7 linked regions of the Rattus norvegicus genome follow. The protein of the gene in region 6 interacts with the protein of the main gene of each other region in a pairwise test. Links are inferred from orthologs where the notes say so. Each region holds a gene or a part of one and is shown on either strand. Other genes may lie near its edges.

Region 1 (4,778 bases), on a different chromosome or scaffold from region 6:
TTATAATAATGGCTAGTTTAGTTACACACTACTATGTGTGTGTGTGTGTGTATGTGTTTTAATCACAAATGAGAAATCTACATATGGCCAGGTATAAAGATTTCAATTTATAGGATAATTCATTGCAAGCAATATTATAAAATTCATTACGCGTGTCAGCAATATCCTGCAAAGTTGCTTTCATGAAGATCTTTTGCTGAGTGGGTGCTTTTGCTTTAATCTCTGTGCTCAGAAAACAAACTCAGGGGAATCTCTGAGTTTGAAGCTAGCCTGGTCTACACATCTAAGTCCAGGCTAGCCAGGGCAACAGTGAAACCCTGTCTCAAAAATGATGACAACAACAAACTAAAAATAATGAAAAGAGCCCTATCTTTTATATTAGAAATTAATAGGTAAAGGAACTTTACATGGTTTACTGCTAGGATTTTTCTAACTAAAAAATAAAACCGGTGGGCTGGGGAGATAGCTCAGAAGGTAAGACTATTTCCTGCTCTTAGGAAGGACCCAGGTTCAGTTCTCAGTACCCACACGGTAGCTGACAGTTACCTGTAACTAGCTCTAGGGCATTTGACAAGTTCCCCTTACCTCTGCAGGCTCCCGCACACACGTGTCACAGACACATACATAAAAATGTTTTAAAAAAGTTTAAATAAACCCAACTCCTTTCACTATTAGTACCACATTTTAACACAGTTCCTGACAGTATGTATGGTCATTGTTTCAGATACTCTGGGAGATGGGTACACCTAGGGTAGTATGACAAATATCTCTAAACAGGGAATGAGTATGCTTTATGCACTGCTTTCTTTTTAAGAATTTTTCCTACAGTGAACATGGGCAGCTGAAGCCAAGATTCTTTCTTTTGTTTTTGAGAGTTTTACATGTAACCTGGTACTCACTGTATAGCCCTATATCGCCTCACCCTTGCAATTATGCTACCTTAACCACCCAAGAGGTGGGATTGCAGGCCAAGGCCAAGGCCCATCTTCCATCTCATCCCTTGAGGATAAGAAGAATGGAGGGAAGAACCTACTGATAGACACTATACATCTTGATACACTTGTGTGTGGGGGTGTGGGGTGGAAGTGTATAGCATGTTTTTACTGAAAACCTACATTGAACTGCTAGAAAAAGTCTTATGGCTGACTGGATCCATCATAGTATGAATATAGAAAATCTCAGTAGAAAAGAAAAAAAATCACAGGATTACAGAAACATACCCGTTTAAATTTCCCAGATACTTTGTTCTGAAGTCTGCTACAATTGTTACTGATCTGATAGGAAATACTTTTAATAGTTTTGCCACTTTGAAGAACGGGATGAGATCCTGCCAGTGTGATGACGCATATTCTACAAGGAGAAAAACAGTCAATCCTATGTTGTGGCATGGCGGCCAGAAACCTCCTCCTGTAACAGTATTCCTGCTGAGGGTGACTATCCAACCTGACCGTTGTTCAGTCCAGTTATCTCTGCTGTGATTGGAACATAATACAGAAAAGGAGAGAATAGAGTTGAATCTCCTTCCCAGGAAAGGGAGCAGTACAAGTCTTTAGTAAGCTAGGGTAGCAGAGAAGCATGGCAAGACTGTGGACACAGAACATGACAAATGCCTCCACAAGGAGCCATTCTATAGGTCCAGCAGTACAGTGGTTGGTACAGGTTGGCTAAGCAGTACATGACCCAACAAGACATGTTCTTCCCACCACACTCCTATAATATCATTTCAACACTGTAGAAGACAATTTCATGAATGCTCAAAACCAACCCAAGACCATACCAGACTAACTACCAGAAGGACAGTGTTGATAATTTCTAATTCCTGGTTTGCTTACCGGTTGGAGTGCTGGAGTATACAGTGGTCCTCACAGGGTTTTCCTTTAACATCTAGAGGAATAAATGAGTTGCTGGTTGTTGAATTAGTGTTTACTATTACCATGTGATTACCATAGTTCATTATGAAGCTGATCACAGTGGTCAAAGTAAATAAAGGCTATTAAGTAGTTTAAATGGCTTAATCCAGATAGAATCCTTTATTCAATGTTAAGGCAGGTAAGATTATTAACTTCTCCATCTTCTCACTTTAAGATGAGACCTATTATTTCCATTAGAGAAACACTATTATAAGAATCACGTTGCTTACATTGTGGTGTTGTTTTGTGGGGCTGTCTTGATGTTATAAAAAAATCACATTTTTGGAAAATTCAGTCCTAAAGAGAACTAGGAAGGTTGCTTATCCTAAACGCCGTGTGTGGGCATACCAGTTTCCCTGAATTAAAAAGGCTAAGGTAGAGGCTAGAGGAGGGTCCCCAAAAGTGGTATTGGTATTTTCTGGGCACAAAGAACACCAGCGAAACCTACTTCAAAACGTCCAGTGGACAATATGCACGGCTTCTTCTTTTTTTTTTTTGGTTCTTTTTTTTCAGAGCTGGGGACCGAACCCAGGGCCTTGCGCTTCCTAGGCAAGCGCTCTACCACTGAGCTAAATCCCCAACCCCCACGGCTTCTTCTTAACATTAGATGTTCCTTAACATCTCTTAATGTTCTCTCCACGCCTAAGGTTTCTTCCCGACTGGGCGTAGGATTGATCCTTCCAAGCACACAAACACTTGGCAGTGTGTGGAAGCCCAGATATACTAACGCTGAGTTCCTTAGTTTAGTTCACGTCCTTTCCTGCCAACAACCCGCATATGGCACTGCACTTCCCACGTCGGAAATAGAACCTGTAATCCTGAGACTAGGAAACTCAAGGAAGAGCACAGGTGGCTTACATCGCGTGGCAGAAGTACCTGCGGCATCCACCCTGTGCGGTAGAGCAGAGCTCACCACCATTCCGCACTTACCCGCTTTATACCAGCGAGTGAAGTATCGATCTACAAGGGAGGGTGCTGGGGGTTCGGTAGACATGACTACCTCTGGCGCCACCACCCCGGCTTCGGGGCAGGGGAGCTCTTCCATCCCGCTGGTCCAGGAGAGTACTTCCGGCGCGTGGTAACGTTGTGCACGCGCGCGCCCGCGACTCCCCGGCCCGCAGCCGACCTCCTTCCCAACCCCAGTCACTTGCGCTGCTGGGCCAAAGTCCAACTGTTGGGCAAATACAACTGGGCGTCAAAGGGCTGAGGGACAACAGACAGCAAAGTCCTTCTGTCTCTACCAGGCTAGGACCTCGGATCTACAGAGGCGGTGCATCTGGCCACACCCACCTGGTGACGTCAAGTTAGTGCGTCTCGTGGGTGACACCACGTCTGCGCCGCCTTTCTTGTGCTACCTGGCGGGTTTCGCTCATCGGTGGTTCGTGTCTCTTGTTTCCCGTGTGCTTTGGCGTTTCCCTTCCAAACCCAGTGTACCGTGAGGGTTCGGAGCCGCGCACTGAGGCGAGGGCGCAGTTCCGCTAGGGCGTTGTAGGTGAGCATTCGTCCGTTCCAGTCTGAGCTGCTTTGTGCGGCCTGGTCTTGCGGGCCAGTTCTGCCCTGCTGCAGGGAAGATGCACGCGCCTCTGTCTGCGCGCGCGGGCGGGGCAGCGTGGACAGCCTCTCTCTTCGAATTTCGGATGTTTTGTGTATACTTTTGCTCCGGATCCAACCTGGGGCGCTGCGGGACACAGCTGCGGGGGATGAGGGTCCTGTTCCCCAATTGCTGGTTTCCTTGCAGAATATAGATAAAACCTCTACCAGCTAATTGGTTAGTTCGTTGTGAAGGTGATAGGTAATAGAGGCCTTTGTGCTGTGCTGCGGATCCTTTCTCGCATTTGGGTCATTTCTGTGGAACAGTGTATCTCTTGCTTTCCTAACTGGTTTGCCTAACCCGGGATTTCTGTGATGGCAGTGATTGTGTAGTCTTTTGTTTCTAGGGCCTAACATTTGGCAAGTTTTGATGTAAGTCACATAACGGATCTTAGGTATTGTGTAAAGGATTCGTTTGTATGTTGAGAACCATGATATATAACCAGCGAATACCTCTATGTGTAAGTGAAAGAAAAAGAGGCGTAGGCAAATTTTAGCTTGTGGAAACAGAGATGACAATGAGTCCCAAGCCAGGATAGGCTGTTATTTGATAAGAGATCAGCAGGTTCTCTGTTTTTCAGGTTGCATTTCATGTGCATGTAAGGGTCAGCTTATGATAATATCAGGAGATAGTGAGTGATAGTGAGTTTAATGTTCAGTTTGGACTTGTTCAGTTACAAGGTATATAGGTTTATCTAATCTTCCCTTTAGTGAGCTATCTAAGCCTGAAGGTAGGGGACCACGGGGAGAAAATGGAGCAGTGGTCAGAATTTTAGGACATGATCAAAGTTGTATGAAAGGACTTTTTGGCACATGTGTGGATGGAGAAAAGTTGAATTCATGGAACCCAGGGAGGTGCAGTAGGAGGTGCCAAAGGAAGGCTATTAGCAGATTATGATCCTACAATCATTTGGAAAATACTCTTTTCCTAACTTGAAAGCACTGAGAAAAATACAGGGCTATGTAACTCCAAAAAGTTAAATGAGTGAGGAGTGTTGGAATGACAATTTAGAGAAGTCAGTGTTCATGCTAAAAGAATTGTGGCATTAGAGAGACTAATGAGCTTGCCTTTTATCATGTGCATGAAGTGGCTTCGGAGGCCAGAAGAGGGCATGGGACTCCCTGGAGCTGGAGTTATAGATGTTTGTTAGCTGCTGTGTAGGTGTTGAGAACTGAACTCAGGGCCTCTGGAAGAGCAGCCAGCACTCATAATAAACCTCTGAGCCATCTTTCCAGACCTGACCCGAGCTATTCTTTTAAAAACTCAGATTGCTTTGC
Region 2 (2,934 bases), on a different chromosome or scaffold from region 6:
GGATGCCATATACCTCTATAGTCAGGAGCCCTGTTCAATGATTGCTCCCACCCTTTTATCAATCTGTTGGCATTTCTGTGTCCTACTAGGCAAAAGTAGGTATATCTCGTTTGCCCTTTGAGTTTCCTCTCGCCTGCTCTAATCAGTGAGGTACTCCAAAGAGACCCGACTCTGAACAAGTTAGACACCTGTGTTTTCACCAGCAGAAAAGCGAAAGCTTCTTCCCTGACTCCTGAGCCAGAGAACAGTTCAATGAACAGAACAGGACTGGGTGGACTAACAGCAGGAAACGATGAGACTGCAGAGTTAAGAGTCTGTGTCCTCAAAAAGGAAAAAAAAAAAAAAAAGCCTTAAGGTTGGGGATTTAGCTCAGCGGTAGAGCGCTTGCCTAGCGAGCGCAAGGCCCTGGGTTCGGTCCCCAGCTCTGGAAAAAAAAAAGAAAAAAGAAAAAAAAAAAAAAAAGAGTCCGTGTCCTCAAAAGGGGCCAGAGCCCGCTTGGGTTTTAAAAGACTAGCCTTACAAAGAAGCAGGACAGGAGTCTGTCTTTTAGTGGCCGTATACCTTTTTGAACCTACTGCCTGCAAGGCTCGCTTAGGGCATGCCTAGTAACAGAACCACTGGTCCTTGACCAGACTTTTTAGGTTGCTCAGAGCTCCAGATGAGAACACACGATTCCAATTTGGGAAAAATTTGGTGGCTTGTAGGCCTTTAGCCAAAGAGAAGTAGATGCTGGGAACTTATTCCAGGAAACAGGGCAGTCAACTGAGGAAAGGCCTTGGTGGAGTATCCCTTTATTTCTGGCAGCTCTCCTGGTGACTGGTTTGTCTGCGTGCAAAGGAACACCCACATAGGCCTGGCCTGCCAGCCTACCAGACACCGGATCAGGCAGCCATACTCACTGAACTCAATAAGCAGCTTTCCATAGCCCCGGCGCTGATAAGGTGGCAGAGTCAAGATGCAGGCCACATTGTAATCTTCTGTGGACTCCTTTTCCTGGAAAAAGTAGGTGGGTTAAAGAAGGCCAGGCTCAGGGCAGGGCTGAGGGACAGCCTTTGTGAGTGCTGACCTTGGAGAAGTAGCCCACGATGTGGAAGCCCTTGCAGTCATACTCCGTCATTACATAGAAAAGGAAGGGGTCTGTGTCATAGTACAATGTCTTGTGGTCGAGGAAACACTTGGCCAGAAGACACAGGTTTTGTGAGTAACTCTATAAAGGAAAAGACCTCACAGTCAATACTCTGGGATACTGTTTTTAAACAGTTAATTTACTATGCCACATGTGCCTGTACACAACATGCACACGCATGGGAGTCCATTCCCCTTCCACCATAGGTTCTACAGAGTAAACTCGGGTGGCCAGGCTTGTGTGACAAGCCCTTCCATGCACTGAGCCATCTCAAGGGCTCTGAGGAGCACTTCTTCCTGCTGTTCCAGTTGAGAGGGTTGAACTTCCCGCCCAGGACCCTGGCCCATCCCACCAGTCAGATTAGCACCACTGCTTAGAAGCACTACTTAAGTGACCAGGAGCCTACAAACTAACGTCCAACTGCCTGCCCTGCCCCTGGTGAGCTGTAGAGCTTCCACATCCCCAGCAAAGCCTGCCCTGGGCCTGCATTGTCCTCTTTTCCACTTAAAGTTTCCAAGCCAGGAATGCCTGTAACCTCCACTCTTAGGAGGCAGAGGGAAATACAAGTTTGAAGTCAGTCAGCTAGGGATACATAGTGAGTTATTAAGTTTCCAAATGGACTAGTCATCAGGAGAGACATTCTACCCATGTGGCTGTAGGTGTCAGAACCTGAACGCTCTAGCTGGTGACCCTTCCTGGGAACTGGTCTGCAATTCTGTGGAGGTTTAAGGAACTGCCAGCCTTAGGGATTTTTCCCTACAACTCTGGACTGGTTGTCTTATCACATGTGACTTCTAGAAGAATTTCAGACAGCTTTGCAACTGCTGGTCATCTACTTGAACACCACACTTAATATACAACAATGTGAAACTTTGTACTTTCCTCTTGAAGAAGTAGCTCCTCTTCAAGGTGAGCTCCCAAACCAATCCAGAAATCTGCCTCTCTCTCCATCCATACCCTGGAGGCCTTAAAAAGTGTGTATTTCAAGGACCTCCATACTTGTCACTTAAAGAAACCCTAACCTGTTCCTCCCCACTGATCTTGTTCCTGACACCTGACCTTTGACCTTGCCTCACCACCTCTCCCTTTCTTTTTACTTTTTGCATGCACTGTCCTGGTACATTGGTGGCTGCATCTCTGAACCCAACTGCTTACAACTGTTTAAATATGTTCTCTTTGCTATGTCCAGGCTCACAGGTTAACCTGCAAACTGTTTCAAAACAGATCTGACTCTAGCCCTGGCTGGCCTACAACTCCCCATAGACCAGTAGAGACCTGCCTGCCTCTGCTTCCGGAGTGCTAGGAATAAAGGATGTACCAGCACACCCAACCAAAGATCCTTTTTAACTCAGCTTTAGAAAGGATCCTACTGTGTAGTTCAGACTGGCTCTGAATGTCAGCTCCTAGCATCAGCTTCCGGGATGCTGGGCCACACTGTTCTTTAACTGCCTCCAATTTTACACTTAACCTTTGCTGTCTTACAGGTTTTTGCTTTGGTTCCCTGAGATAGGTCTTTCTTATTTTATAGCTCAGGTTGGCTTGGAACTCATATCAGACTAATCTTGAACTCAGAGTTCTCTGAGTGCTGGAATTCTAGGCATACACACCTCCAAGCTCCTGACAGCTTCCTCTGAACTCTGCTAACCCAGCCTTTGTTTCCGATACTCCTCACACTGGGATCTGAATAGCTGGTATGTCTACTTCTGCCATGGACAGTGACCTCTCCGGGAAGAGAATGTATCTAAATGCCAGTGTTCTGTGCATTCCCCAGCTCTACGTCAGGCATTCAATAAAAACAGTGAACTAAT
Region 3 (4,032 bases), on a different chromosome or scaffold from region 6:
CTAGTGCAAAAGCATCCGGGAGGCATCCAGAGCTCATCCTGGAGAAGTACCTGTCCACTGAGTTGTCACTCAGGTGTTACCAGTAAATGCTGATTCCTCGGGGACTTGAGTAGCAGGAAGGTTTGGTTTCATCGCTGTACCCTTAAATTAGAGAGAGTTTCTGCTCGGCAGAATTACACACAGCTGTGGAAAATAGCCCGCTGAAGAATGTTTCCTAGTTTTTAAAAGATGCCTCTTTCTTGGAGAAGAAACATTATCAATAGCATAAAAATCACCATTTAAAAATTCTGAATTATGAAGGAAGAGAGCAGGAAACATATTAACGTGTGAACCTTGCTTTTGTTTTTTTGTTTTTTGTTTTTTGAGAAGTTAGCTATTAAATTGTTTATTTGAATTTGAATTCTTGCTATTCTGTTTTGTTTTTTCCCCCAAGTTCTCAGTAGTGCATATACTTTTAAGCAGTATTTTTTTAACTGACATACGTCAGTTCTCCTTATAGAGTACCATACACATGACATTGTAACACAAAGCACACAGAGTTGACAGGTGGGATATATTTGCACCATTTCCCTGCATCTCTGCCTCTGACCCAGCACTGACTCTCTTTGGAGTTTGTACTGCCAGGGCCAAACCAGAAAGAACAGATGGACAGAGGACAGGCAACCCAGGTATGAGAATGGATTAGTCTTCCTGCCATCAACAGAGAAGACCCACTGACAGTCCCCTGAGACTTGTAGAGAGGCTACACCCAAGTAACAAGATTTTCTAGAGGCTCAGAGTCCTGAATTGATCTATGTTTCCTTTACAACAAATGCCAAAAATTTTGATAAAACAAAAATATTTGCAAGATCCAATTTGTGGCCTTCTGTGCTAAGCCCTGAAACTCCAGTACAATGAAATATTTTCAGTGTGTTTTCAAAGTCAAACATGACAGGATTTAGCCCATAAAGTCTGAATTGTAAAAACGAAAACAAAAGTCCTCCATGAAAACGGGTGGTTGCATCCTGTAATAATCTTTAATACTCTATGGCTAAAACATAGCCCCATTTATTTTAGAAAGAAATTAATGTTAAAAGGCAGATTGCGGAGCCTGTGTATATTTACTGAGGTGTTCTGAAATTCTCCACATGTTTCCGGGTAAAATCCCTTTACTTTCTGTCTCTCTGGCCAATTCACATTTAGTTAAACCTATAATAGACTCTGGATGTGACCTTCGACCAGCCTCCGTGCCTTTTTCCTAGCTCACCTGCTACCAAGAAGTCCTTCCTGTTTTTTGCTAGTGACTTGGGATGCACTGCGTCCTGACCATAATTGAATCAGGGATTTAATACTGGTCTCTGGCAGCCCTGTCCCTCCCACTAGGCTTCACAGCTTAGTATTTGCCCGGTAATGTACTCTTGCTATACATTTTCTACCCCACAACCTCCTCCTCCTCTTCTGTGTTCCTTTCCTCTCCTTCTCAGTAAGTCGCCAGTTCCTAACTGCAGATCGGAATTCTGGAGCGAGTGCAATAGGGGCCTTAAAATGTGATAGTAGGTACTGGGAATGATAGTTAATATGAACACAAAACCAACTCTGCCTGGAGCCTTCTCAGTGTACTGTGGTGCAGGGCTGAGTCTGCTGTCTCTGTGGGATCTGAATGTGACCCTTGGCAAGGCTATTGGACTAACTCAGACACTGTTATCTTTCTAGTGCGAAAATCTAAGGCAGCTGATGAGAAGAGACGCTCCTTAGCGAAACAAGCACGGGAAGACTACAAGAGGCTTTCTCAAAGGGGAAGGAGTGGCGACGGGCTGCAGAACCCACTGACTGGTCCACAGAAGCCCAAAAGACCTCCTCTTCCTCCGAAGCCCCAGTTCCTACAGCCGCTGGGAAGCCCTCCAAAGTCTTTAGGGTAAGAAGCCGCACAGATGGCTTCCTTCATAAGCCCTGGGATGGGCTAATTAGAGCTGTGTGTCTTGGGGCATGGGATGGGGTGGGTGCTCGTGTTGGCTCACTGCTTAGGTCAACGCAGGCTTGCCTCTAACCAGTCTTCCTTGACTCCTTTCTTTCCTGTAAGATAGCCACTGTGGCTAAAGTTAGAACCCAACTGCAGGGTGAAGATGTCAGGTGACTTGCTGTTCCCCACCTTCACCAGTGGCAGCAGGCTGACAGGAATGAAAAGGGGGAACATGGAGGGCAGAACAGTGTTTAATGAGCAACATTGCCTCTAGTCACCAAAATAATAATTAGGATCCTGGGGCAGGTAGACTCATTCCCAGAACTACTTTTTATTGCTGGAGTCAGGGTTTGATGGCAGAGCCAAGATCATATTTTCAGAATTTTGAAATGCTCTATTTTGGGACAAAGCATCTCTCTTATTTGGCCATAAAGGTAACTTTACTTTCTAGGGACAACATGTGCTAGAAGATAAAAAAAGAAAGCTAGAGTGATATCCAGAAGAAAACAGCATCTTTCGTGTTTACTGACTACCAAATTCTTTTTTATAACTACTGACTTATATAGAATATTATTGTTATTCTAATTTTTATTTGTTTGCTTGTAGTAGGGTTCAAACCCAGGGCCTTTCACATGTTAGGCAAGCAGTCTGCCACTGAGCTATATCTTCCACCCTAAAATTCCCACATTTAGAAAGAAATGTTTAAGATCAATTATTGATCATGTGATTGATCACATGATCTAGACTGTGGTTAGCATTGTCTCTTGAAATAAAAACTAAAAATACTTCTCTGTTAAGAGTTTTAACAAACAAACAAATGAACAAAATCTGTTCTTTTAATTGTTTAAGTCATTCTTTTTTCTAACTGAGGACTATGACCTCAGAGGAAACACAAGAGTAAATTATTTCCCCTACTTAATAATCACTTCTACTTACTCCACTGAAGGTTCCAGATTGAGATGTGGTGACCAGCACTAAATGACACAGCACACAGTTTGGGAAATGAAGTTTTATTTTTCTCCCTTACAAGTAAAAATAAAACGTCAGAAATATACACCTCCTGAGCTTCGTAACAGGTCACACATGGGCTCCCACATGTGGTCTTGTCTAGTGTAACTCTGGCTACAGAGCCTCACAGGAAGCCTTTCTGGTTTGCTAGCCCCTAGCATGGGGTATGGTTCATCTAATGTCTTTCCTATAATGTTTTTAGGACACAGTATATAGATGACAAGGAGAGTGGCCTTTTAGAGAGTAGGAGACAGTTTCCGTCAGGAGTACTCAGCTTGCTCTTTTTTAAGGCAGTGTAGAATAGCTCCCTGAGTGTCAGAATAGATAGGGCTGGGCCTGGGACTCTGGGCAGTTATGACAGAGGTTAGCCAAGAGCCAACCGAGAGAAAGACAGGTACTAGCTGTCCCACGTATGTGGAGTTTTAGTCTCTCTCTGAGGATTATGTGGAGAAAAGGAAGCTAATGTGAAAACTAACATGAGAATTTGTCAAATAATCTAATGTGTATGCAAGGTCAGCTTCCGGAAAAGTTAAATATTGTAAGATATTTTCTCTCAAATCCTCTGAATACCATTAATAATAAAACATAGCCATATTTGCATATATATGTGTGTGTGCATGCATGTATGTCTGCGTGTGTGTGTGCACGTGTACACACACATGCAAGCATGCACACATGTACACACATGTTTGCAGAGCTGTTAAGTACCATGAAACTCATGGCATACACAATTTGTTGCCAGCAGAAGCACAAAGAGCCACATTAATTTGTACCATGGAAGATTCCAGTAGCTCATTCAATCTCTTTGTTTTAGATTTAGAGCCTGCTCACCTAGTGGCTTGTTGAACAGGACTTGGGCGAATATTTATTACACCTCTGCGCTGCCTTCTGTAGTAGAACCATCTGTGCCAGGACGTCCTTCTGATGCTGAGTTGGTTTCAAAATGGCGCTGTTGCTAATTTTTCCTCTCTAGTCTGCAGACACATTCCCTTTACCTTCTTGTTCCTAGAGCATCTTTTAGTAGAAAGAAACCTCTTCAAACTGGGAGAGAAGAAGCAAGTGAGGGAGGTGAGCAGAAATGGAGA
Region 4 (4,032 bases), on a different chromosome or scaffold from region 6:
TGTCCTTTTGTAGGTGAGAGGGAGGAATTTCAAAATCAGATTTGGAAGCAGTTTGCACACTTTCTTGCCTGGGACGCTGGACTGTCTCCGGGTCGGACCCCTCAAAGCGCCAGCTGGAGTTTGGTCATGTTTCTCTGGTGCATGTTGTGATGGCGGACTAATTCGTCTGACCGCGCAAACTTTTTCTGACAACTGTGCCACCGACAGCTGAAGGGCTTTTCACCTGTTGACACAATTGCTAGTCAGAGACACTTGCAACAGAATGACTGGGCACAGGTTCAACTATCAAAGGCCCGCGTTAAATCACCACAGCCCGCCCTGGACTCCCATGGGTCGTTCCCTAAGCTAGCCAACTGGCTCTTCACTGGCAGCCTGGGATTAGCAATGCCTTCTGAGGGCTTGATAACCAGAAGCACTGTAAATATAACAAAATGGAAAACGTGGGAAATGGGAGAGAAGTCTAGTTTGTGGGAATCTCTAAGCAACTCATAAATTAAGGGGGTTTGGGAAACCTCTGTTTTATCTCTAAGGATGCTCTGTGACCTGTGCAAATGTTTCTGTTGCTGTCTAAGTAGGACCTGATCTGCAAGGGCCACTGAACCACCACCCTGGGTACTGTTGATTGATGACTGGCCAGCAATAGATCTAGGACCAAAGCTTTACTCTTTATATATAGATGATTTAAAATAAATCGTGGATATCAATTTGTATTCTTTTTGCTTCTTTTTAGTGCAGAGTCTGACTCAGAAACAAACTGTGTCAGAGCAGAGGGTCTGGTTGCAAATGATTAAGACTGCTCTGTCTTGGGAGCTCCCATCCTCATTGAAGACAATAAATACCTTGCGTGTAATGCCTATCACACAGGCGTCACTTAGAGGTATATGATCCTTGCCTTTCAAACAGCCTCACAAAGAATCATTATCTTCACTCCACAGATGCAGGCAGGATTTGAACCTAGACATGCCTAATTCAAAGCCCACTCTCATCCCTGTGTCACATCCCCAAGGCTTGCAGAAGAAAATACCACAGGAAACAAGCCCAGTGCTGCCTGGAGGATCTTCCGAGGGTACTGATAACCTGTCTGTCCTGAAGAGTGAGGACTTTCCTGGACACTTACAATAACATGGCTTCCTCACGTCCTGTTCACTGGCCATCCATTTTTCCTAAACTGGCTCCTCCACCTCCTCACAGGCACTTCTCAACTCCCTTTCATATTGGTCCTCTCAGCTGCACCCGGCTTGGCTGAGTCTGGCTCCCTCCTTAACTCCCTGGCTTCTCGAGATAGCTGTTTGAACTCAAGCTCTTTCTCCAAGAACAATGGGGCAGAGGTGGGGCAGTTGCCACTGAGGTTGCCTTTCAATTGCTCTGTGGCTCTGGGCAAACTATTTAATCACTCCCCACCACAGACTCATCTGTTCAAAGAGGATTGAAACCACCTACCTAGTCTTCTTCCAGGGATGCCGTGAAGATGAAGAGCTAATCTAAGAGATGGTTCTGCTTCCTAAGGAAGCAAATGAGCAAAAAGGGCAGTGCTATTTTCACCATGAATCTCATAGCCTTGGGGGCAAACACAGTGCTTCAGCAGCTAGAGGCTGCATCAATCCCCCATTCTCCTCCCTGTGCTGGTATATCCATGTGCTTGTGTTAGTCTGACAGAAACCTAGACTCCTCGTGGAGCTTTAAGTAAGTGGGGTACGCTCTCTGATCGGGTATGAAACTTAGGCTCTCGGTAGAATAGAATATCTTGAATTTCTGATCACGCTATCGGGTTGATTGTTCAGTTGGTAATACAGCAAACTGGGGACAGTGGAGACGACCTTATCTTTGCTGTGAATCCCCCTGGGCATTCTCTGCCCATCTCTTGCCTACCCCATGCTCTTTGACCCTTTCTCTGAAAAACATTATCATTTATCATATAAAGATAGCCAGACACAGCCATTCTCTGAATGGATTCTCAACTCTAGAACTTGCACACGAGTCTCTCGCATTGCAAACAGTTTCATTAAACAGTAGCTTAGAAAATAATGAAGAATAAATGTGAAGAAAAGTTTACGCACTTGTTTTACCTGTATGAGTCCTGGTGTGGGTCTTCAGGTGGTCGGACCGGGAAAACTTTCGCTGACAAGTTTTACACTGGAATGGTTTCACACCTAAACGGACAGAGAAGGTCTAGCCTCGGCCCTAGCAATGTGGGGCACAGTGAGACACATGAGGCCGGCTTTCTGGCAGCTGGAGAAGCCCGGCATATCTTTCACATCAGCCAGGTCTGCGTCTACTGGGACCTCATGCTTCCTTGATCCCCAGACTCAGCAGAAGCCACCTGATTCTGTACAGCAACCTCCAGGAGCTGCTCCCGACTTGGAAAAACCATTTCCTAATTACAAACATCCAGTTCTCGCCAGTAGACAAGTGTTAGAGACTGAGAAAGGTAGATCACTGCAAACAGGATCCTCGCCATTGCCCTGGTTCCTGACTGACCATCATCAGTCACCACAGTCTACCGCTGAGGGATCCTACAGCCGCTGTGGCTCTCGTCACGAACGTGAGATGTTTCCTTCCTCTTCTCCTTCTCCTTTGTAAAGGAAGACTTTTTATGATGTGTGTGTGTGTGTGTGTGTGTGTGTGTGTGTGAATGTATGTCGTGTGTGTGCATTGCCCTCAGAAGCCAGAAGAGAGTGCCCTATGGAGCTGTGGTGGCAGGCAGTGACGGGCCACCTGGTGTGGATGCTGGGGACCGAAGCTGAGTGCCCCGCAAGAACAAGTACTCTTAACTGCTGAGCCATCATCTCTACAGCCCTTCTTTTTAAAAGAAGTCTCCAGGTGAGGGGAAGAAAGTTGGGAAAATGGAGGTAGATCACCCTCTTGTCTGTGTTCAACAGAGAAGACAGTCACAAAATCGGCTCTAACCCAAGGGCCTGTGACTGCTGGCAATGAAAAGTGAACCTACAAACCTGTGTGTCTCCTTTGGTGCCTTTTGAGCTGGTCTGAGCGAGAAAACCTTCTCTCGCAGTCCTTGAAGTCACACTGGTATGGTTTCTCACCTTAGGGAAAACACATGCCATTCTGAGTACAGTGCTGGAAGGAAACCTCTTCACAAGGAAACCCCCCTAAATGCAGATGAAGGGATCCCAAAATGCCCAGAGCACTAAGGGGAGCTAGTTAGGGTAGTGCTGTAGACTTCTGGGAAAAGAAAATCCCACTTACACACATGCCCATGGACACAGGAAGGAGTGAATGCAGATACCCTGGCGAAGTTCCCTCACTGTGAAATGGAACCAATAATCTGACAACATCAAAGGGTCTATGAACAGATTAGACCAGACCGTCCAAGTAGAAGGAGCAGACTGGTGCCTAGCACTGAGGCGATGATCAGAAAAACACAAACATTAGCATGGACTATTTGGAGAAGCCAAAAAACCAAAAAGGTTTGTTTCAAAGTCCATGTTTGAATCGGAGATAGAATTTTGGATAGTGTGCCTTGAGGCCGGCCTTGTGAATGAACTGTTCTGTGTTTTATGGCCTGAAGATTTGGTGTTCTCTGCCACTGACTTCTTGTTCCTGGGACCAACATAAATGACTCGATGGTTGTAAGATTCCCCAATTAAACCAGAAGCTGAAAGAAACATTTAGCAAGATTGTTGTCCTTTAATCTGAACCAAGTCAGCAGTAGGATTGTGCAACCCTGGACTCGGGAAAGAAGAGCCCCACCCCTGTGTCCACAGGAAAAGTTCAGCCAAAAGCTGGGAGAAGAGCCCCCAAGAGTGCACTGAGCTTCTGCAAGTATCCCCACCTCCTAGAATTCTGACTCACTGGATTCTGGGATGGAGAGCTAGATACTCCAGGGTCAGTAGGGTCTTTCCATTGGTGGACAGCTCCAAGTTTCCTTTCACGTCTCAAAACCTCTGGTGCTTCCCTGGCTCTGCGTGTCTCTTGTAGCTGACCTCACTACTCCGAGCCCCCCTCACCCTTCATCTTTATATCCCCCCCACTCCTACCCATCGAAATGTAATGTTAAATGTTAAGAACACACCC
Region 5 (4,590 bases), on a different chromosome or scaffold from region 6:
AGTGCTGAGGTCTAGTACTTTGAAATTAATACCCACAAAAGCACGGTGCCCAAACCTTACCGACTGCCTCTTTTTTTTTTTCAAGTGAGACTTAAGACATGTTTAAGATAAAAGTCGATCAAAACTGTCTCAAGCCCAAGTGCTGGTGGCAAATGCCATCACCAAAGCACTCAAGAGGCAGAGGTGGGCAGATCTCGGTGAGTTTGAGTCCAGCCTGATCTACAGGCCTCCCAAAGCTACTCACAAAGAAAACCCTGCTCAAAAAACTGTCTCAAATACGTTAGGGAGTGGTTCATGAATAGTTAATATGCCTGGTACCCCGATCTCCAAACTCCCAACAGCTCCTTTCCCCTACCTTTGTCACTAGCCCCAATATCTTAAAGTGGCCAGTTCAAAGTCAGGTGCTATAACTGCAAGCAGAATACACAAGTCACTTTCTCCTCGCGCCCCTTTTTATCCCTTCCTCCGAATATCTCCTAGTCTAGAAACCTTATTTCTAACCGCTGGATTCTAGTTGCGACGGGACAAGGCCTCAAGGACAGAAAGAGGTACCGAGAAAAAGAAGGTCCAACAACTCTTGGCGGGTTCTTGGGATGAAGTGCTTGCTTTGCCAAATTGTTATGCCTGGGAAGGGAGAACCCGCACTCGGGTGTCCCCTGATCCACACAACCCCAGGACATCTTGGTCAGCCCTCGAGGAACCGAGAACCTCGGTCAAAATCCCCCTCCCCGGGCCATTACAGGCTCACAGACACCTTCACGACCCCACAGCCCCCCCCCCGCAGAAGCCCTTCAAGTCCTACCACGTCACTCCCATGGCGAAGGGTCAAAAGGTGGTACTGCCAAATACTCAAACTCAGAGAATCCAGACCTTCCCACGAGAGGCAGCCCCCTAAACACAGGAAGCGGTCGTTGACCGGCCTCCGGAAATGCGTAAATACTGAGCGCCAGGACGACACGCCCACAGGGAGAGGCATCTCTGGATACACCAGCGGTGACATTTCTAGTACGTCATCGACCCGGCTCCGCCCCCAAAACATACAAGGGGTTGACAACACGCCCTAGGCTACTTTCATGAATTCTGGAAAAGGTGACTCGAACATCCACCTCTTTCAGTGAGATTATCTGAGAATTTGGAGACTCCTGCTCCAAGCCCCGAAGCTCTTCTAGAGATGGCGATATATGAGGAACTTCCGGCCTCCGAACGCTGGGGGGCACTGTGATGCCTCAGTGACCTCTTGGAGACCGGAATACAAGGCGCAAGCGCAGTCTCGTCTCTTAGCCGGCTTCACACGTGTAAACTTTGTGGGCAAGTTTTTCGACAAAAATGCCCAAATTAAAGGTGACACGTGGGGCCAGAAATCAAGAGAGACATGCACCTCTGGCGGAGCAGATTCTGGCTGGGGACGCAGTGCGTGCGGGGACCCGAGAAAAACGGCGGAGACACGGGGTCGAAGAGGAGGAAGAGTATGTGGGACCCCGGTTGAGCAGACGGATTTTGCAACAAGCCCGGCAGCAGCAGGAGGAGCTCGAGACTGAACACGCGACTGGAGATCGGCCGGCAAAACCGCGAGAGCGCGCCACGCGGCTGGGTGAGTGACAAGGGGTGGAGTGGTGAGTTGGGCCGGTCTGATACTCTCCATCGGAATACTGGGTTAGAATTAAAAAGAGTAGGCGGCTTAACTTTCCCGCGTGGTCCTTCACTTCCACTCCTGGGTTTCGGGATCCAGACTTAAGCCAACAGAATGTGATCTCTCACACCAGTTCTAGCATTTATTTATTCTCTGTGCGTTTGAAGTATCTGTGGGCTGCCTGCATAGTGCTTTGAGCTGTGTTAAGTTTTTAGGCAGTTCTGATCCAGAAATAAGATCTTCATCACTCCTGATGGCACCGGAAGTGTAGCTCAAGGCACACATTAAATAGATAATTAGAGTAATATATTCCAGGCAGGAGTGGCGATGCTCACCTGTAATGCCAGCACTCCAGAAGCAAGGCAGAAGGCCTCCTTGAGTACATAGTAAATTCCAGATTAACCTCGACTACATTACATGATAGAACCCTATCTCTCAAGAGAGGGGGAAAGATATTTCTGTTTAAACAAAAACAGATGGACATTAATTCTGTATGGTGGGTATCCCAGGTTTCACGTCCTTCTAGTAAGATCTGAAAAGCAAGTGGGAAGTGTTCCAGTGATGAGGGAGGGGAACGAGTATTGTTCAGAAGCTAAAAGTGGGGTGGGATGGGTGGGTAGATGCTTGGTAATCTGTCTCACTGGGGAGGAACTGTCGTTGACCTCCAGTTGCTTAATCTTCCATTCCCATCTGTCCTAAAAGCAGTGTTTGAATGTGGCTTTAGGGCTACAGCAGCTTTTCTGAAGTAAGGGCTCAAGGAGCCCAGGCTGGCCTCAAACTCTGTAGGGGAGGATGACCTTAAACTCCTGATCTTGCCTCTGTTTTCCATGTGGCATTATAGGTGGTTGGCACCACGCCTGCCCTTAAAAACATTTTGTAACTGAGACTGGGTCTCCTTCAGTTGTTCAAGCTGGACTTGAACTTGCCGTGACCAAGGCAGGCCTTGAGCTTATAGATCCTTCCGTGATGCTGTCAGCAAATTTCACTCTGAAGCCATCTGTTTGATGGCTGCTTCCAGATTTTTCTCCCACGTACGTAGTTCGTCCAAGAGGCTCACATCTTTATTTCCAGTGGTCTTCCTGACAGCTCCAAGTTGAAGACTGGTAGCTGTCGATAGTTGAATGTGTCCACACAGAAGTTCTGACTTCCTTCCCAAACCTGCTCTCTGTTGGCTACACAGAGTTTGTTAGCATGTTAGCCTTCCACTGCTCAAGGCACAATCCAGTGTTCTCTTTCTCACTTCACAGTAAATCCTGATGGTTGTGTCTTTAGAATATATCCAGAGCCAGACCACTTTCCATTAACTTGGAACGCCTCCTGTTTTAGCTACCACAGTCTCCCCTGAATCACTGGGAGAGCATCATAATTTGTATTCTGTAACCTCTGTGGTCCATTCAACAGCTAGAGATCAACAGAATCCTATCTAATCTGCCTCTGTTTCAGGTCTAATCACAAAGTAAGGAGGGGATAAGATAATTCAGCTGGTAAGGAACATGACTTGAGACTCTTGACTTCCACCTACAACAGCTTGTAGTCCCACAGTGTTGAAGACAGATCTCTTGGACCCACTGGGCAACCAGTGTAGCCTAATCAGCTAACCCCAGGTCCCAGCCAGACCCTGGTTCAAAAACAAGGTCATCAGCTCCCGAGAAATAATAGTCAAGATTCCCCTCTGGCCTCTATGATGCAAGGGTTCACTCATATATAAAAAACTAACAACAGCAACAACAAAACACCCCACAAGTGTCAGCATCTGTCTCCTAACCTCTTTTATTCCCCTACTTATCTCATAGCACTTGTCTTCTTTTATTTAACATGTATTTTGTGTGCGTGTCATGATGTGTGTAGAGAACAGAGGAAAACTCTTGAGAATTGGTCCTCAGCTTTTCAGAACACTTGTTCTAGCAGAAGATCCGAGTATGGTTTCCAGCATTCATATGTCAGGCTTGCTGTCTGTAACTCCAGTGGCAAGGGGTCAGATGCCATCTTCGGATCTCACTAGACACCAGGCCCGCGTGTGCACAGACATACATGCAGGCATGCAGGCAGGCACCGCTCACACTTAAAGTAAATCTACAACAAACACCCTTGGCTCTCCCTGAATGTGCTCTGTGGACTCCTTGAGCTCTAGGTACCCTTAGTCCACTTCCAAGCACATGACCTGTTGCTCTGTAACACTGCAGCTAATTTGGCCCATTAGGCTCTTTCCCAGCTGCCTTGCCAGGTGTGTGTGGTGTTTGTCACTACAGGTATGTTGGCACATGGCTTTAATCCCAGCACTCAGGAAGCACCCAGCCAAGGCTACATGGTCAAGACCCTGTCTCTAAAAAAATAAAAGTCAGGATATGTCAGGAATGGCTTGACCCACCTATCCACCTATCGCCCACGTAAGGACACAGAGACATTTTATTATGAAAGCTTGGCCTTAGCTGGCTTGTTCCCAAGTAGCTTATACAACTTAGCCCATTAATACTAGTGTACACGGAACCACATGGCTCATTTCCACTCCTCAGTACCTGTATGTGTTTCTTCCTCTGGCTGTCAAATCCCTTCATATCTCATTTCTTTCCCAGAGTTCCTATCTCTGCCGGAAATCCTCTCCTGCTTTGCTATAGGCCAGTCAGCTCCTGATTAAACCAATGGGACGGAGACAGAGAAGATGTTGTTTATACAACACCTGGACAGGTGATGCTTCACAAAAATAACAATAACAACTGCAAGTCTCCACTGTTACAGAAATCAGTGTGTGAATAATTCAAAGACAACCTTACACAGAACAGGAGCGTTTATCCCAACATCAGGAGCTCAGTGTTAAGCATTGTGGTGTGTGTTTGTGATTCCAGCACTTGGAAAGTAGAGGCCTGAGAACAAGGACCTCTAAGTCATCCTTGACTACCTAAGTCAGCCTTTTAAATGTATTGGTTAATCAGAGTCTGGTGCCACTGACTAGCCCTCAGCCT
Region 6 (4,032 bases):
TCCAGGAGATCATTTTCACACAAGGCCAGCGGATGTAATTTTCTTTGATGCATGAATAGTTCATCATTTTGCTACTAGATGACAAGGTGACCACAGGGTGACTTTATAACGCAAGTTCACTGTTTGGTATTTTGAGTTCTCAAAATGAAAAAAAGATTTATCAAATATAAATATCTTTAAAAAGTAACAAAAGTGCTACATATGTGATCAAGGAAAAAAATTCCATTAGTTACTGCCGCTTAAAGTAGATTAAACTACAAATATTACCACATCCATTATCAATATGGCTTCCAATTATTAAATAAATCGCCTGTAGCAATACAGCTTTCACACCTCCACAAGAACAGAAAAGGGAACACAGCAGGGACGTCCTGCTGTCCCACGCGCTCGACATGTAGGTGGCAATGTCCCCTGCTTTTTCTGCACCTAGCTAGGCAAGGATCCCCGTCTGTGACAGTCAAGTTGCCACGGTCCCCAGCAGAGTCCTAGCAACCCTTGGTGGGCCTCAGGTGACAGGTACAAAGCCTGCTTTCCACTCACTCTTGACCTCAGCTCTATACTTTCTGGTAGCAGGGAGGGGGCACCAACAGGAGGCAAAGCAACTTCCAAGGTAACTCCAATACTTCCCAGGCAGGCGCTGGCATCGCGCTGTGGAATGTATAGCGGCCCGAGACCTGGGCTTAGCGTCCATCCGACACTCAGCTCATGCTTTCCCTACTGCTCTCAAGCTGGGTTTTGCTTTTCAGAACTTGGTTTTTGTCTTTTTTGTTTTAGAATCGTGGTCCCAAAGGCGGAAGGCAGTATATTATCTACTAGGTCACACAGCTTGTAAGACAGAAGGATGTCTGTGTTGGGCATTAGCATTAACCAAGATCTGAGCTTGGGATTCCAACGACATTCGTAACACAGCACCCAGAGAAGTAGAGCCTGGCCACACTGTGACAGGAGGCGGCTTATTGCAGCTGAATCAGTGCGTCTCACGCCGAGGTGGGGCTCTATGTTCCTTGTGCTCCGCTCCACGGATCCTTGCCAGATGGTGTCTGTCGGCCCTGTGCCACTGCCTCAGCCTGCATCCCATCAGTCTTAGGGCGGGGACGGGGTACAGCCTAGTTTTACAGGAATCTAAAGGTACCCAAGATTTTACACAGAGCCTAATATTTGAGAACTGAGGGTTATCTAAATACTTGGAAGCACTTTCTTGGAATGCTAAGACAGAGCAGCGAGATTTGTCTTTTCACCTCAGGGGCTGGGAGAGGGAGGTTTGTCTGTTTGCTTCTTACTTACTGGAGTTTGAATACTGAGAGAGTATATGCAAAGGCTGAATGAGGGCACCATGCCATCTTCACAGAACAAGACCCTAATGGCTACCTGACATACAAGGAACTGTAAGTTATACTGTAAGAACACATGTTAAGGACCGAGGAAAGTCTGCTAAGGTGCTACGTCTAAACTAAGTTAACTGTTTAACTCCCTGATCAGTCATCATCCAGGGCCTCTGTCTTGATTTCATTGGCTCCCTGCCGGGCCAATGCCAAGATAGTGTGGTTGACGGCCGCCATCTCCACAGCTAACGAGATGGGATCTTGGTGGTCGCTATGGCTCGTGCTGTCATCCTAGACGTGCAGAGATAAGAAAGGAATGTTATTGGTTGGCTGGCAGCAATCTCAAGCTCACAAAAAGGCATGCAGGGGTGCCGTGCGGGGGACAGAGCATCTGTGGAGAAAATGGCTGAGTGCATCTCATGGTGGAGGTGAACTGTATTTAAGTAGACACTGAATGGACACAGGTCCAGAGACTTTCAATTTTTTGTGACTCAATAAATAAAAAGGATATAAATGATTTGTTTTGTTCCTTTTTTCGCACAGTATTTATTCTACCAAAAATTGCTAGTGCTGATCAAAGCTGAAGTGATCAAAATAAACTAATAGTCTGGATTTTTCTGTTTGCCACAGATACAACAGTGACCTAGTGTACTCCTAAATCCACAAAGCTACTGGGACCCAGTGTGTCCCTGCTGAGAACAGTGGAGGAAATGTAGAACAAGCACCTTACAGATCAGGGACGGTCTGCAGTTACACAAGTTGCAGGTGCAGACCCCGACTGAGAGCTAAGTGAAGCTTTCCACCCTCTAAGTCGCACACAGTAAACAGTGAGGCTGCTGGTGGGCGTAGGGACACACGCCTGTGACCCCACCATGCCCAGGCCGAGGCAAGAGACTGACTGCAAGTTCCAAAACCAAACCAAGGCAAACCCAGACAATCGAGGAATAAAGCAGTGATGGAAGTTCTCCCTGCAGGTGTGCTGGGCACTAAAGGCGCCATCACAGATCTGGGACGGATCTCACCTGTCTCATCTTCAGGGGACTCTGTACCAAAGAGCTTTGGAAAGAAAAGTCCCTTGCGGGAAGCATGTGATGTGCTGCCCTCAGGGCATCTGCAAAAAAAGGTGGCAATGATCCATCCATGTGGGTCTGCTGACAAACGACAGGGATGTTTCCAGAAAGAAACAGCACTCCCCCGGGCGGAGGGTGGAGCTGTGCTTGGAGAACTGGGTCTCTTGGGGGCATAATCTGCTGGGACACATGGCTACTACTGTTTCGTTCTGGCTTTTAGACACTAGCCTTTGGGATTTAAGAAGGAATCTGCAGAGAATCACACATGTTGCTGCAATAGTGGATACGCGGAAGCTGAGGACAACTGAGAATGAAGAACATGGCGGCTGAGGACAAGGAAAACACCAGAAGAAAGAGTCTAGGGACAGGACCGTGTGTTCTTTGAATTTCCCAAGTGGAAATGAAATTTGATCCTATAGAACATTTTAATGAAATCTGTCAACATGTTTGCGGGTGTGGGGAATTCCCCCAATCACAGTTATCGACTTATTCCATGCAGTGGCTACAATTAAATACACTTTCCCGAAGCAAGGCAGAGCACAGCAGGATGAGATGAGAAACCATGCAGGTATTGCATTATGACAGGATGAGTCAGTGTCCAGAGAGACTCTGGTTAGCCACTCCTCTGGGCACGAGGGTTCCCAGTGTAATGGGGACTGGAGTGGGCGGGGCCTTTTGTGCCTTCATGGTCCACGGCAGGCACGGTCACAGCTGCCCGCATGCCCCTAAGTGTTTCTCAACACTGTGTGTGTGAGTGTTGTAACTTGCTTGTTTGGGTCAGATCCTCCTGTCTTCTTCTACCTTCTCTGCTTCTCTGCCTCCCTCTGAACTTCTTCCCTCCTCCTCCTCCCCATTGCGTGCTTGCCAAGTGTCCTGTTGTGTGACAACAAACCCATAGGGTGGATAGAGATTACTCACAGATTTAACAGGACAACAGAGTCTTACCACATTCCTTTCCAAACGCATGAAAATCTAACTAGACACATGAGCAGAGTGGAGGGACACCAGCTGCTCCCCGGCCCCATACAACCACCCACAGACTTGAGTTGCCACTGCCCCCCACGGTAACCAGAAGGCTAGCCCAGCCACCCACCTGCTCAGAGTAGTCGTTCCCGTCCACATCGTCGCTGTTGGAATGGCCTCCTGGACTCTGTACATCGATCCCATGACTCTCCAGGATTGCTGCTTCTTCGAAAAAAGCAAATAGATCCCTAAATTATCTGCTGCCTCCACATAGTGGCTGCACATGATTTTATGGTGAGGAAATCAGAACATGGTTAGTCGCTAGTCATCTTTCAATGGGAGAAGTTCAACTCTGTGTAGCTTGGGGTAGAGTCCAGCTTCAATGCACAGCAAACTTCCCACTGGTTAAGTACCAAGCGGACTGTTGGGCACTTCACAGAACTTACTATGTTAACAGCTGTCCTGGCGGGCAGGGCAAGGCATCTGACAAGTGGAATGGCAAGTAAATGGCAAGTGAAATGAAGTCATACTTCTCCTGATGCTGGGCATCAAAACCAGGTCCTTCCTTTCTCCCTCTGTGCTATCTCAGCCCCCGAAAGAAGCTTAAAAGAATCTTTTATCCAACCTCATCCCATCCATTCTGACCTCGTACTTTTACTATAGTTTTGACTGGGATT
Region 7 (4,032 bases), on a different chromosome or scaffold from region 6:
TGGCTTTCTTTGAGCACTTCCTTGCCTTCAGGCACTATAAGATGCTCCAGGTTCATGCTGTAGACTTCCTGCCTCAGTCTTAGTTTCTGCAAGGTTTCTTCTGTGGTATTTATACTTGGCTTTGAAGGAGTTGTTCTGACCGTGTCTACTCCATTTATTTGAAAATAATAGGCACAGTTTGCACTCAGACTTCAGTTCTGTGTGCAGGCCAACATCTTTGCCTATCTTAAAGGCTTCAGAAAGGGGAAAATAAAACATCAAGTGCAGAAAAGGCAGATGGGAACCATTCTAATGTCCCCTTGCACAGCCATCAGCCCCTGTTGCCCCTCTTGCCCTGCACAGGTCAGCTCATCAGATGGCCTGTCCATTTCCATGTCTGAACCTTTAACTTCTAAAGGCTCGGCCCCCCACCTCCAGAAAGGGTGTCGGATCTCCCAGTAGGTTAATTGCTAGAGTGATTTCCTTGTGATATTGTGGGGTTTTTATTGTTTTGTTCTTTAAGAATTCAGTAGAGAAGGTAGTAAAACCTCTGGCTAGTTAATGTTTTAACTAGCTTGTTGTGTGTAAGTAAATGTTTTTACTGGGTGCCTGGAAGGCATAGGAAGAGCCACCATTCAAAGGCATAAGCCCCATTTACTCACCTACTTTACACTTGGCCCCTGGCAGCTGCTGTGTTGAATGCACACATTTTTTTCCCCTTTTAGTTCTCTTTAAAAAGAGCAGGTGACTGATGGTATCCTTAAAAAGTAAAGGAAGCAGGCCTGAGAGATATTCTCAGCAGAAAAGACAAGATTCTTAGCTTGTAGCCAAATTCCAAATGTGGGATTTGTTATTTTCTTTATTTACTGTTTTTTAAGAAGCTTGGGGTGGGGGCAGCACAGACTCTTAAATAAATCATACTTGATTGTGTCTAGAGATTGTTGTAAGCAACAAGATCATGTGCTCCAAAACCTTCTCTGAGTTCTTCTGTCAGTTTGTTGTAAACTCCTGAAACATAAAGTCATCAGAAAGTATAATCAGAGAGTAGACTGCAGACAGCGGTGCTTTCTCTCTTACTTTAGGAAAGCCCATGATTGTGATTGGTTTGTTTGTAGGTGAAGAAGACTACTCCCCTGAGGCCGGGGTACACTGGGAACCCTTCCTACCATGCTGCATGCACGCCATGGTTATTAGACAACCTGTCCACCGAGAGAAGAGACATTCTTCTATAAGGTAAGATGACCCAGGATCATCAGCCTCCTAGGCTATTTTGAGGAAAATCCTGTTTAACTTTTATTTTTCTTCTTGAAATCTGTTAATGAGTTGGTTGGGGCTATAGCTTAGTAATAGAGTGCATTTAGCAGGCTTCAGGCTCTGAGTTCAGTCCCTAGTCTAATAGAATAGACTTGCACAGAAAAGAATGGGCAAAATAGTGATTTAAAGAATAAACTAATGTAGCAGGCACTGAAAGAAAAACCTAGGTTTCTTTTGATGTTGTTTCAGTCTTTTTCCTATAGAGGAGACCTCTCTAGGTGCCAAGATAATTTTCTATTAAACACACCTGTGGGGCCTGGGAAAGGCTTAGTGGGTAAAGTGCTTTAGCACAGGCATGAAGATTGAGTTTAGATCCCCATCTACTCAGGGAAAAGTCAGGAATGAAAACTTCCATGGGATTCCATGGGATATACACTTGTCACCCCAGCACCAGAGTGCAGTGACAAGGAGGATCATAACGGCTTATCTAGCCTGTCTAGCAGAAATGGTAAAGCCGAGGTTCAGTGAGGGACTCTCTCTAAAAGAGTAAGGGAGAGCTATAGAGGAGGGCGCCTTAGTGTATCTCCACACTTACACTATCCACAGAACTCACTCTGAGCCAACATGGCGACATGTACCTGTGACTCAACACTTGGTAGCTAGAGATGGGAGGATCAAGAGCTCAAGGCCAACCTAGGCTACATAGGAAGTTGGGAGGCCAGGCAGAGCTAAATAAGACTGACTCAAAAAGAATAGTAAAATAAATCAGAGCTTCAGAAGCGTTCTGCTAAAGATGATGGTCTGAGTGGACAGGAAGGGGTTCCATTAATGTGTGCTGGTAAGTTTTGTTATAGTCTCTTATAGCACTGAAACTAACATGAAACCCATTCTGAAAGGTATTTTTTTTATGTTAAATTTCTAAGCCAAGAGACTGAATTTCAAGGAAGTAATTAAGTGAAGAATCAAAAGGAAACTTGCTTATTAAGAGAACAAATTATCAAGAAATTTCTCATTTTCCAATTTTCTCTGAGGAAACAGCTATTTGAGGTAATAGCTTGATATTTTTAAATTATATCACTGGGCGATATCGCTGAGACTATAGTGATGTCATTATTATATGTAAAAGCACATCAGATGTTTGTGTTCCCAGCCTGTTTTGGCTCCACCAAGCTAGGCTTACTTTTCTTGTGTTCTCTAGTTCATGATGAGAAATTTTGTAAGAAAAAGTATTAGTTGCAAAATTATCCTTGGATGTCTAACCTACATATGAGAACAGAATATCTTCAAAGGACTTTATCACTTTTTTTTTCTTTCAAGCAAATTTACTTATAGAAATGGAGGTTACCAACCAGGAGATTCGTCTAATTGCTTCTGACAAAGCAGCCCATTTGGAATGTCTTCCTAAGATCTTGTCAGTCTGGCTTTCTCTGTCTATCTCAAATGCTTCAAAGTATGCAGACAGGCTTGTACCCCCACATGAGAAGTAGCCATGTTACTTTGGGCTTCCCTGTGTGCATGGACAAGCTTCTTGTCTGCTGGGTTTGAGGACACACTTCTCCATGACCTGCAGAAGATGTGGGGTCCTTAGCATTAGTGTTCATTGACGTAATTTCATCATGTGGTCAATCCACAGGTTGCTTAGCATGCTATTTTGAGTATTTATGAAATAAAACTTCTGGTACTGAAATTAGAAAAAAATGTTTTAAAAGAATATGACAGGGAAGAGAAGACAAACATCGTGATCAGGTAGCCGAGGTAGGAAAACTGAGAAACACACGCACATGTGTGAATATAATCTATTTTATCCAGTTCCTTCGCTCAGCTGCTACCCCCCAGGCTTTATTACCTTGTATTAAAAATAAGATGCTGATGTGGATTGGGTCAGAGACTTGGCCTAGAGACAGCCCCTCCTTTTCAGTTCCTCCTCCAGGCTTTAATGGGCTGTTTTTTGCTATTCCATATTTATTGACTCAGACTGTGATAAAATCCTTGAGTAGTTTGTAACTTCCGTCGGGGTGGTGCATCGTGTAAGTCAGACTTCCTAAGACTGGTCCTACTGCAGCCATCTTAGCGTCCTGAGACCACCGTCCACTTTACCAGGAGAGAGCTGTCGTGACCAATGGAGTTTCAAGTTTTCAAAAAGACTGCAGAAAAGATTTTTCTGTTAAGTGGGTGTTTTCTGCCCCGCTTTCTCTTTCAATTAATTTATAGCCTTAATGCAGCTATGGGAAATTTAGGTCTAAGCAGATGCCTGCTAGCCAGTCTTGTTGAGCTGCTCTCCATGTCTATACTGATTTAGGGAGCGAATAGTTGTGTGGTGGTCAGTGAGCACAGTGTGAAGAGAGACAGATTCTAAATTGCATGTGCTCTCCCTTCCCGAAAGGCTGCCTCCCGTGACCTAATGTCTGGTTGGTGAAAAGCAGACTCTGCTAGGATGTTACACCACCACTGCCGGAGGAACCCTGAGCTCCAGGAAGAATTGCAGATTCAGGCTGCAGTGGCGGCCGGGGATGTTCACACAGTACGAAAGATGTTGGAACAAGGCTATTCCCCAAATGGCCGAGATGCCAATGGCTGGACCTTGCTCCATTTCTCTGCAGCAAGAGGAAAGGAGAGGTGTGTTCGAGTGTTTCTGGAACACGGAGGTGAGTTCACTGGATGCGAGGAGAAAATTGTAATGGCGTTTGTGGAAAACGCACTTGTGCACGTTTGTTTGCACGTGGATTTTAATGGTTCGCTTGCATTGCTGTTCAGTGTCTTATCTGCTCCTCTTTGCAAAGATGTTTGACAACAAAACAC

Evidence for each region.
Region 1: the proteins of Hmbox1 (region 6) and Abitram interact in binary tests that used the Homo sapiens proteins (3 or more experiments, as listed by UniProt). The two-hybrid records come from large-scale screens. The link is inferred for Rattus norvegicus from reciprocal best matches to the Homo sapiens genes HMBOX1 and ABITRAM.
Region 2: the proteins of Hmbox1 (region 6) and Kat5 interact in binary tests that used the Homo sapiens proteins (3 or more experiments, as listed by UniProt). The two-hybrid records come from large-scale screens. The link is inferred for Rattus norvegicus from reciprocal best matches to the Homo sapiens genes HMBOX1 and KAT5.
Region 3: the proteins of Hmbox1 (region 6) and Sh2d4a interact in binary tests that used the Homo sapiens proteins (3 or more experiments, as listed by UniProt). The two-hybrid records come from large-scale screens. The link is inferred for Rattus norvegicus from reciprocal best matches to the Homo sapiens genes HMBOX1 and SH2D4A.
Region 4: the proteins of Hmbox1 (region 6) and Wt1 interact in binary tests that used the Homo sapiens proteins (3 or more experiments, as listed by UniProt). The link is inferred for Rattus norvegicus from reciprocal best matches to the Homo sapiens genes HMBOX1 and WT1.
Region 5: the proteins of Hmbox1 (region 6) and Bysl interact in binary tests that used the Homo sapiens proteins (3 or more experiments, as listed by UniProt). The two-hybrid records come from large-scale screens. The link is inferred for Rattus norvegicus from reciprocal best matches to the Homo sapiens genes HMBOX1 and BYSL.
Region 7: the proteins of Hmbox1 (region 6) and Asb7 interact in binary tests that used the Homo sapiens proteins (3 or more experiments, as listed by UniProt). The two-hybrid records come from large-scale screens. The link is inferred for Rattus norvegicus from reciprocal best matches to the Homo sapiens genes HMBOX1 and ASB7.

What each region holds. Positions count from the first base shown.
Region 1 is NC_086023.1:76,299,449-76,304,226, reverse strand, and holds the start of Abitram (protein Abitram), read right to left. Parts: upstream 3,174-4,778; 5' UTR 2,956-3,173; coding exon 2,841-2,955; intron 1,885-2,840; coding exon 1,833-1,884; intron 1,351-1,832; coding exon 1,221-1,350; intron 1-1,220. UniProt on the Homo sapiens protein: Actin-binding protein that regulates actin polymerization, filopodia dynamics and increases the branching of proximal dendrites of developing neurons.
Region 2 is NC_086019.1:212,326,826-212,329,759, forward strand, and holds part of Kat5 (histone acetyltransferase KAT5), read right to left. Parts: intron 2,093-2,934; coding exon of another isoform or gene 1,976-2,092; exon of another isoform or gene 1,214-1,975; intron 1,208-1,213; coding exon 1,067-1,207; intron 994-1,066; coding exon 900-993; intron 1-899. UniProt on the Homo sapiens protein: Catalytic subunit of the NuA4 histone acetyltransferase complex, a multiprotein complex involved in transcriptional activation of select genes principally by acetylation of nucleosomal histones H2A and H4.
Region 3 is NC_086034.1:26,123,513-26,127,544, reverse strand, and holds part of Sh2d4a (SH2 domain-containing protein 4A), read left to right. Parts: intron 1-1,692; coding exon 1,693-1,894; intron 1,895-4,032. UniProt on the Homo sapiens protein: Inhibits estrogen-induced cell proliferation by competing with PLCG for binding to ESR1, blocking the effect of estrogen on PLCG and repressing estrogen-induced proliferation. May play a role in T-cell development and function.
Region 4 is NC_086021.1:112,063,255-112,067,286, reverse strand, and holds part of Wt1 (Wilms tumor protein homolog), read right to left. Parts: intron 3,042-4,032; coding exon 2,952-3,041; intron 2,151-2,951; coding exon 2,058-2,150; intron 224-2,057; coding exon 102-223; 3' UTR 1-101. UniProt on the Homo sapiens protein: Transcription factor that plays an important role in cellular development and cell survival. Recognizes and binds to the DNA sequence 5'-GCG(T/G)GGGCG-3'. Regulates the expression of numerous target genes, including EPO.
Region 5 is NC_086027.1:20,879,083-20,883,672, forward strand, and holds the start of Bysl (bystin), read left to right. Parts: upstream 1-1,258; 5' UTR 1,259-1,326; coding exon 1,327-1,591; intron 1,592-4,590. Other genes in the region: Med20 (mediator of RNA polymerase II transcription subunit 20), read right to left, coding at 803-816. UniProt on the Homo sapiens protein: Required for processing of 20S pre-rRNA precursor and biogenesis of 40S ribosomal subunits. May be required for trophinin-dependent regulation of cell adhesion during implantation of human embryos.
Region 6 is NC_086033.1:43,253,656-43,257,687, forward strand, and holds part of Hmbox1 (homeobox containing 1), read right to left. Parts: intron 3,581-4,032; coding exon of another isoform or gene 3,578-3,580; coding exon 3,486-3,577; intron 3,266-3,485; coding exon of another isoform or gene 3,170-3,265; exon of another isoform or gene 3,161-3,169; intron 1,614-3,160; coding exon 1,476-1,613; 3' UTR 1-1,475. UniProt on the Homo sapiens protein: Binds directly to 5'-TTAGGG-3' repeats in telomeric DNA. Associates with the telomerase complex at sites of active telomere processing and positively regulates telomere elongation.
Region 7 is NC_086019.1:129,667,364-129,671,395, reverse strand, and holds part of Asb7 (ankyrin repeat and SOCS box protein 7), read left to right. Parts: intron 1-1,094; 5' UTR 1,095-1,212; intron 1,213-2,156; exon of another isoform or gene 2,157-2,280; intron 2,281-3,616; 5' UTR 3,617-3,667; coding exon 3,668-3,878; intron 3,879-4,032. UniProt on the Homo sapiens protein: Probable substrate-recognition component of a SCF-like ECS (Elongin-Cullin-SOCS-box protein) E3 ubiquitin-protein ligase complex which mediates the ubiquitination and subsequent proteasomal degradation of target proteins.